Oryza sativa Japonica Group: one gene and its partner. Each later gene encodes a partner of the first gene's protein in a complex. Links are inferred from orthologs where the notes say so. Each region holds a gene or a part of one and is shown on either strand. Other genes may lie near its edges.

The links.
Region 2: AUGMIN subunit 4 (region 1) and AUGMIN subunit 2 share a complex: the UniProt entries of both Arabidopsis thaliana proteins name them as parts of the augmin complex. The link is inferred for Oryza sativa Japonica Group from reciprocal best matches to the Arabidopsis thaliana genes AUG4 and AUG2.

The regions. Positions count from the first base shown.
Region 1 is NC_089036.1:1,015,912-1,020,003, reverse strand, and holds the start of AUGMIN subunit 4, read left to right. Parts: upstream 1-1,262; 5' UTR 1,263-1,307; coding exon 1,308-1,445; intron 1,446-1,528; coding exon 1,529-1,576; intron 1,577-1,663; coding exon 1,664-1,762; intron 1,763-1,923; coding exon 1,924-2,277; intron 2,278-2,514; coding exon 2,515-2,614; intron 2,615-2,767; coding exon 2,768-2,813; intron 2,814-3,085; coding exon 3,086-3,179; intron 3,180-3,295; coding exon 3,296-3,367; intron 3,368-3,471; coding exon 3,472-3,530; intron 3,531-3,686; coding exon 3,687-3,755; intron 3,756-3,896; coding exon 3,897-3,948; intron 3,949-4,092. UniProt on the Arabidopsis thaliana protein: Involved in microtubules reorganization during spindle and phragmoplast development.
Region 2 is NC_089042.1:6,163,827-6,168,162, forward strand, and holds the start of AUGMIN subunit 2, read right to left. Parts: upstream 2,845-4,336; 5' UTR 2,703-2,844; coding exon 2,607-2,702; intron 2,026-2,606; coding exon 1,915-2,025; intron 1,362-1,914; coding exon 1,257-1,361; intron 1,100-1,256; coding exon 1,031-1,099; intron 895-1,030; coding exon 781-894; intron 492-780; coding exon 192-491; 3' UTR 1-191. UniProt on the Arabidopsis thaliana protein: Contributes to the assembly of the acentrosomal spindle and phragmoplast microtubule arrays as part of the augmin complex.

The DNA of each region.
Region 1 (4,092 bases):
CGGGATAAAAATACTTTCGAAAAAAAACACGCTAATTATACGCATAATAAAAGGTCCCCAAGGACAAATCTTGTTATACAATACAATATTTGCAAGTTATTCAATATTGTGTTTTATTTTCTATCTTTTTTTTCCTTTCCTCATATGGTATGGCTGCTTTGGCGCACCATTTTCTGTCATAAAAGTCTGGTTACTGTAGTTGAAGACGACTACGACACCATAATCTCGAGAAAAAGACATCATGGCAGATCGTAATCGTATCATGCAAGCCTGAACATGAAAACAACAAACTTGAAGGTCGTCCATCTACCTGACCACATGTGTATGGGGATATGGGCTGGTATTTTGATCTAATCAAATTATTAAGCTCATGCACGTTGATGTGCCACAATTTTACCTTTTTTTTAAAGCATAGATTAAGATTTAAGAAAAAAAACTATAATACCCTTAACTAAATATTGTATGGTTGGATGTAGGAGGTTGGTTAGGGGCAAGAAAAAAGATAAATTTGAATTAGAAACGATTGATGGAACAAATAGTATTTTATTATGATAACCATTTTGAGACAAAGTTTAAATCTTAAAGAGACAAGTAATTTGTGACGGAGGGAGTAAGTTGTTTAATTTATACCGTTTCAGTTCTAATCATATCATTGTGTTGCTTATGTTCTTCTTCCAGGACGAGCAAACACCCGTTCTTCTTTTCTATAATCCTTCTCCAACACCAATCACAAAGAGATATCATCTATTTTAAATTTTTATGCAAACATTTGAGGGTATGCTCGAGCATAACGAAACCTAGCCATTAAATCTGTTTCTAAAATATAGTACTAGGATTTACCATCTCATTTTAAAATCGAAGTACACATTGTTTGATTTACGGCTCATAAGCCATGGAAAAAAGAACTAAGCATAAAAATAATAATGTTCACAGGTTTTTTTTAAGTCAACTTAAAATGAACCACGATGAAAAACCCCTAAAAATCAACTCTCAATTCTAATTTTCTTAAAAATTTTAAAATTTGGCCTCGGCAAATAAAAATAACAAACAGCGTATGAAATGAAAGACCGGAGAGATGACGAATTTGATGAAGGAGATTATAGTGGACATCCATAATTTCAGAAGATTATAGAGGCATTTTTGTTTCCGTGTCTCTGATAGCCGAATGAATCAGCCGTAATCTCATCCGTCATCCCACGATCCAACGGCTGGTAGCCCCCCCAAATCCGGCTACACAAACGAAACCCCACATTCCCCGACACGATTCAAACCACCACCAACGAACCTCTTATTCGCCGGCGACGACGATGTCCAAGGCCGCCGCCGCCGCGTCGCTCCCTCCGCCGCCGCCGGAGGTGGCGCACCTGGTGGATCAGCTCCAGCGCCACCACCTCGCCCCCGACGCCTCCCTCCTCTCCAGCTGCGCCCACTCCGACCTCCTCCAGGTACGCTATCTCACCTCCGCGAACTCGATGTCCTACCTCCGCGATCTCACCCGCTGCTGTCTCTGTGCTTTCCTTCGCCGCAGGCGCGGGAGGAGGTCGCGTCGGAGCGCGCGCGATACCTGGAGGCACTGGTGAGTGCGCCCGTCCCTTCTCGTGGGATCTGGGATTTTAGGGTTTCCCGTTGGGGTTCTGATCAGATCTGGGGGTAATGTGGTTAGGCTGTGTACGCGGAGGCCATTGCTATGGTGGAGGAGTATCAGCACGCCATCTCCACTGGCGTCGCCAACGCTGGGAAGAAGCTCAACTGCTCCCCGCAGGTTCCACTTCTCTCCCGCATTTTTAAATTTTTGCGTCTTTCAGTGAATGGTGGACATAAAGCTGCAAATGTGAATTCAACTGGTTGATTGCAGATGAAACTTTTGCTGCTAAATTGAGAAATTATCTGACTGAAAATGGAGCATTGTATGGACTGATGTAGGTGTACGAGTCATTGGAGCACCATTTGGCGGTTGCAGAGGCTGCGCAGAGGTTAAGGCTTCCACTGCTCTCGCAGGATGGAGATGTACATGAGGAGGAGATAGAGAAGCTGAGCACCTTGTCTAGGAGCTCATTCGATAGCACCATGACAAGTGCCGCACCTAGCTCGAGTTCAATCTCGACTAGTTACAATAACTACAGCAGCACCGCAAGTGCAGCCACTGTTGCTGCGGCCCCTGGTACTGGTGGTTCGGAGCCAGTTGAGCCTGGTGTTGGCGGTGTTCCTGATCGTTTTCTTGGAATCACATCGGATTATCTCTACCAGGTGCAGCAAGAGCAGCCAGCCATGACCGTGGTATGTATAATCTTTTGCAACCAAATTTATCGTGTGAACCAGTTGTTGGTGGGTTCAAGTTTCATTTTAGTTTTGGATATATTATCGTATGTTTCTTGGGGAATCAGACAATTACTGCTTCACTGCTTCCTATCTTTGTTTACCATTTACTGAAGAGCAATCAGGACATACATTGTTTCTTTTCAAAACCGGGCTGTTTAAACGTTTACAGCATGTACCTCTGATTTCCCGTTGCAGGACATGGTTGACTATCAACGAACTCTGGCAAGAGAGATTGAGGCCCGCTTAGAAGCCAAGTGTGATGCTTTAGCTGATCTGTTTGCAATGGATGAAAGGGGTCAGTTTTTGAATCTTGCTATGACTACCAATTTCACTCCCTGCGTTCCTGTCCATTTTATGCAATGCAACTTGGGCAACTTAGTTTTAGACAACAGTACACATCTTGTATTCAATATTATTGTTTTAGCTTAACATTTCAAATGTGCTGCAGATTCATCATCCATTAGTCAGATTTCAAGTGCCAGACTTCCAGAAAGGTGAAATTTCATATCTTTGCCTGTCTTGCAATGGTTTTACTTATACGGAAATGCTTGATATGCCAAAACTCTCTTAGGTCAAGCATAACATTTTGAGTGAAAAAAAATCTCCTTGTTTGCTTCTGTAATAATTTACTCTGATCACTCACAGTGCATTCTCAGTTCTTGATGGCAATGTCCAATTGTCAACCTTTACTTGTTTGGACTTAAAATATTAATAACAGGGAATTCATGAGACGCATTACTCACAATATGATTTTCCCTTTTGGCAGGGTGAAGTTAATTATTGAAGAGATTGAAAAGGAAGAGGCCCTTCTACTAGACGATCTTGCTTCGATGGATAGAAAATTTGCCGAACACTATAATGTACGTGTGTAGATATTAAGTGATTGCTCAAACTCCACATAGCCAGTTAGCTCACTTTATTCTAGTAGAAATTCTGGATTATATCCACTTACTGATGGCTCCTGAAATTTCAAAAGGTCCTGGAGCAAATTCTTGCTGTACTTATACAGTTCGTTAAAGACAAGAAATTGGAACATCAGCATCAATATGTAAGCTTTCTCATATTCCTATTATGATGCTGCTTCTTTGAAAACATGGAGTGTTTTCAGTTTCATATAGTTAATCCTCCTACTTTGTCTTTGTGGGCTAATAGGATGATCTGAAGAAGACTTGGCTTATTAAAAGGTGCCGGACAATGAATGCTAAATTAAGGTTGGTACCTGCATCTACGTCCATCATACATCACCTAATAACGGATCTTAATTTGTACTTTGTTAAACATAGTTAGTCTTCTAATTGAGTTATTTGCTAGTCAGCGATGGGACAAAACAGAGTTAATTAACTATTTCTTTCTTAACATGGTTCTAGCTATCTTGAGCATCATCTCTTGCGTGACACCTATACCAAGGAAACAGTACCGGCACTACATAGGATCAGGTAAAGCCAGTTTAATTGATTTAAAAAAAACTGACATGATATCTTGAGTTAAGTGGTACATCTTCTCAAAACAGATCCAATATGTTGAGTGCTTTTCTTTTCAGGAAAATGCATTTTTTACTTATTTACCGTTTCTTGCAGGAAATATCTAGTAGAGGCCACGAAAGAAGCATCCAATTCTTATACTGAAGCGGTATGATACACCCATCTTACTTTCCCCTTGTAATCTTCAAAATATTTGGTCATTAAATCCTTAATAGCAATGGTTATTACTCATTTACTGAATATCTAGTCCTTAACTCTGTAATGGAAATCTAGTAACTAGAGCTCTGTAGTT
Region 2 (4,336 bases), on another chromosome or scaffold:
GCCCAGTGATAGTTTGTTACAAGGAACTAACATCATTCAGTGTCATGGGTAATCATTTATCCTGTCAGTATCACCTGCCAACGGGAGCTTTTGCAAATGGCTGAACAGTAACCACACAGAAGAAAAGAAACCCCAGAATCCTATTTATACAGCACACAAACATATGGAGTATCTGTTGGGTGAACCTTGGCCTACTGCTCCCTCTTGATGGAGGATGGCCATGACAACCTCCTCTGGTTGATGGCATCGAGTCCATCACTCTCAGGGATTGTCTCGTCCACTTGCTTCCAGCTATCGAGCATTGAGCCCTCTCTCCACTGAGGCGGCGTCAAGAACTTTGAATCGTCACTGGATCCACCCGGGGTCATCGACAGAGAAGAATGACCTACACGTAATTTCTGAAGTGTAGAGAAGGATTCCCTCATTGCAGACATGGCCTCAAAGAAGCGCGTGCAAGAAGCAAGCGCAGCAGGTATCGGTCGAAGCATTTCCTTCATCAAGATAAAAGTAACCATTAAACCAATCTCCAATAACAACAAGTAACAGATTTACAATTACAAATCTGAGCCATTTATAGGACCAAGCAGTCGTAATGCACTACAAAGCAAATTGTAGTACTAATATGGGTACTTCAATAAATCCATAGATCACTGGTCATCTAAATCTGCCACTGATAACATAAATACTTGCATCCAAAGTGGAAGGTGTTTAATAGAAAATGAATTTATAGTGAACAATTGGACACTAACGTAGTATTTAGAAATATATTTTTCAACTTACCCCCCATACAGCAGGTGACTCTCTGAAGTTTTGGCTCCACTGGAAATCACCTACAGATGCTGTCAATGCCCCATAGTCACTTGCTGCTTTCAGAAGTAGCTCTGAAAATTGTTTCTGAGAAGACACCAACAGGTGAGTAGGAAAAACATGATCCACTCAGAAAACCACATGGTTCTTTTAATAATAAAATCATGTACGGGCCGGCATGCTTGTTATGAAAATCACAGGTTGAAATGATAAGAAACCTAACCTGGTATTCAGCTTCAACAGGAATGCAATCGAGGGAGTAAGGTTGTTGCAGTCGAGCAATAATGCGATCCTGATGGAAAAAGGATCATTATTTCAGATGCATAGGTTTGTACAATCGGATAACGTATAGGGCAGAGATGCAGGCGGAACGTTCTTCACACAATCAATCTGAATAACTGGTAATCCCAAGAAAGACAAGTGAAAGAACAATTTGTGACTTCAATTACCTTGTTTTGAATTACATCTTTCAAAATAGTGGTGATTCTGGCCAAAGATTCACACTTCTTCTCCATCTCACTAACGTGAGTCAGATGAGCAATATTTTTATCATCCTGTGGAGATCCAATCTTCATCAGTATGGTCAACATAATAACACATAGTATATATTCAGATCAGAAGCTTTTTAAAGAGATGGATACACCAGCATTCAGAAATGGTGTGCAGAAAGTTTATGAGTCTAGAATGGATTCCATGGGCATAATCACTCTCAGGTTTCACGCTGTCATGCATCAGCCAGTAAAGCTTTAGACTTTAAACTCTCAAGAGGGTTGGGCATCTTTATTAACTTTTAAAGAACCAAGAGTTACAGTACACATAAATATGTACCAACATTCAAATTTCAAAGTGATATTTTGCTCTCTTTTTTTGTGATTTCAACACCACATCACAGCAAGAAAATGAAAAGGATATTGATTACACCAAAGCTAAGTGAAATAGTGAATACATGATGGCGGGCGATGGAATGTTAGAGTAATATCGTGTAGTACCAGATCTGAGAAGGTAAAACAAATACTTATATTGTATAGATGCATCAGCAAGGTGGACAATGTGTGGAGTTCTAGTATAAATGTATAGAAGCTAGCCACTGGATATCAAATTCATCACCTTTCTGCCCTGTAGTTCCACTTGCAAATTGGCAATGTTCCTCTGTACAACAGTCAGTTCCCTCAAAACCCTCACTAGATCATCGCTTTTGTCTGAGCTGCCCTGATCCTCCTGCCATAAATAAGCCATCACAAGGAATGGTAATACATGTCAGATGATTTTTTTTTTCTTGCAAGAAACATATTCTTTAGAAATGAACGAAATCCTTTAATGATCATCCCTGCAAGTTGCCAGTTCTAGGAAATTAAACAATCATAATGAAAATATACACACGCCAGCATAGAAATTTTTCATAATTATGACAAAGCAAGCAATGGTTCATGAGATCAAGTAGCTTATGTTCACCAAAGTTTGGGGCAGATTCCGCAGGTGATTATCGTAAGGCTAACCAATCCCACCCAAATTCTCGGAATTAAATTCTTAAACCCGCCCAAATCATTCGGAACTGCAGTGACAGAGCTCAATCTTACCAACAATGCTAGACTCAAAACCTACATTTCTCGACTGCATCACAATCGCAAGGAACCAAACCCTACTACAATCACCTCCAACGAAACGCGCTGCAAACCTAACCGAGCAGATCTGGATCTACCGAAACCGCAATCGGAAACCGGAAACCAGAACAGGTCGAGGATTCGCGCGAAGAGGCGAATCAGCGAGGCGAGGAAGGGGATTCGGGAGTCGGGATCCACCTGCGCGGGAGGGGCGGGGAAGCCGAGGTCGGCGGCTATGGAGAGCGCCTCCGCCATTCCCCCCAGCCGCTTGGCCGGCTTCTGCACGCCCGCCATGGGGGCTCGTCGGCGTTGGGCTCGAGGGCGCCGCCGCCGTGCGCGTCGCCGTTTGGTGCGGGTTTCGCTTTCGCTTTCGCTTCGCCGGCTGGTGAGCGTTTTGGTCACGCGATTTGAACCCAAATTTTGAATCACAGCCGCTGCTCAAATTCTTGTTTCCTTTTTTTTTTATATAAATTGCACAGTTACTCCTGGGTCCTGGCCAAGGCTATTTTCTCTTAGAACTGTAAACAAGTACTCCCTCCGTATTTTAATATACGACGTTATTGACTTTTAACCAACGTTTGACTATTCGTTTAATTCAAAAATTTTGTGCAAATATAAAAATATTTATATCATGCTTAAAGAACATTTGATGATGAATCAAGGCACAATAAAATAAATGATAATTACATAACTTTTTTGAATAATACAAATGATCAAACGTTTAACAAAAAGTCAACGACGTCATACATTAAAATTAAAATATAGAGGTAGTAATAAATTTTTAAACATGTTAAATGGGTTGAACTATAACGGCTTAGATTAAAAAGAGACGGCATCTACATTTTCTGTTTTCATTTTGATTTTCTAAATTAAATTAATAAATACTAAATTGATAGTATAAAATGGATACAGCTTCATATTTAATTTTACAGATTTTGGATTTTTTTTCTAAAAATTAGACGAATTAAAACTAAGGCCTTCTTTGGAATGCGAATGCAAGATTAGTAGAAGCACACTAGTAGGAAACAAACATTAAATTTTGGTCAATGTGAGTAAAACAGAGAAAACGTATTATTCGGTAACACCAAATTAACCAACATTAACTAATCCTTCTTTTACTGACCTTGGTACTCCTTCGGGCTATTCTTTTATGGAAAAAAAATAGGCATCACGTAGAGGGGGATGTTGAAAGATAAATTGTGTATTGAGCCACCTATTATTTCCTAAGCTTTACAAAAATATTTGAGTGAATTTCGCTTTGGGCTATAATTTTTACCCAAGTTTTATTTTGGACTAGGGGTGAACAAATCTTTTCACTTTTGACTAGGTGATTTTATAAAAGTTTCAAACTAGACTGGCCTTCTTCTCCATCACTCCTCTTCTGGTTTTTTTTCTCCATCATGATACTGCCATGGATCAACCGGAGCAAGCACATAACTAGGATTTCTTCTCACGTATCCGTTCCTGAGCTCGAACTCACGAAATTAAGGGTGTGTTTGGTTGGGTTTTCAACCTGCTTTTGCTTAGCAAAAGCCAACCAAACGGCCCAAAAGCCACAGCTGCTTTTGCCCAAAGCCAGCTTTTGGTGTAGTACAAATCAAAATCACCTCTACCCCCTGCTTTCACCTGCTTTTGAGGGAAAAATTACCCACCTCTGCCATTACAGAAAAAACGGTTCGCATATGTTCTTTTTTTTCTCCCATCGGCGTCGCTCGACGGATTTATCTCTTGATCCTCCTCACTTCGCCATTGCCACCGCTCCTCCTCACTTCGTCGTCACCGCCGCTCCTCCTCGCCGAGACGCCGCCGCCGCTCCTCCTCTCGTCCCACGCCGGCCCAGATCCACCGACGAGGAGGTGGAGGAAGAGGAGGAGGAGGAGGTGATGAAGGGCGAGGTGCCGGTGTTCCCGCCGCCTGCCGTCGAGGCC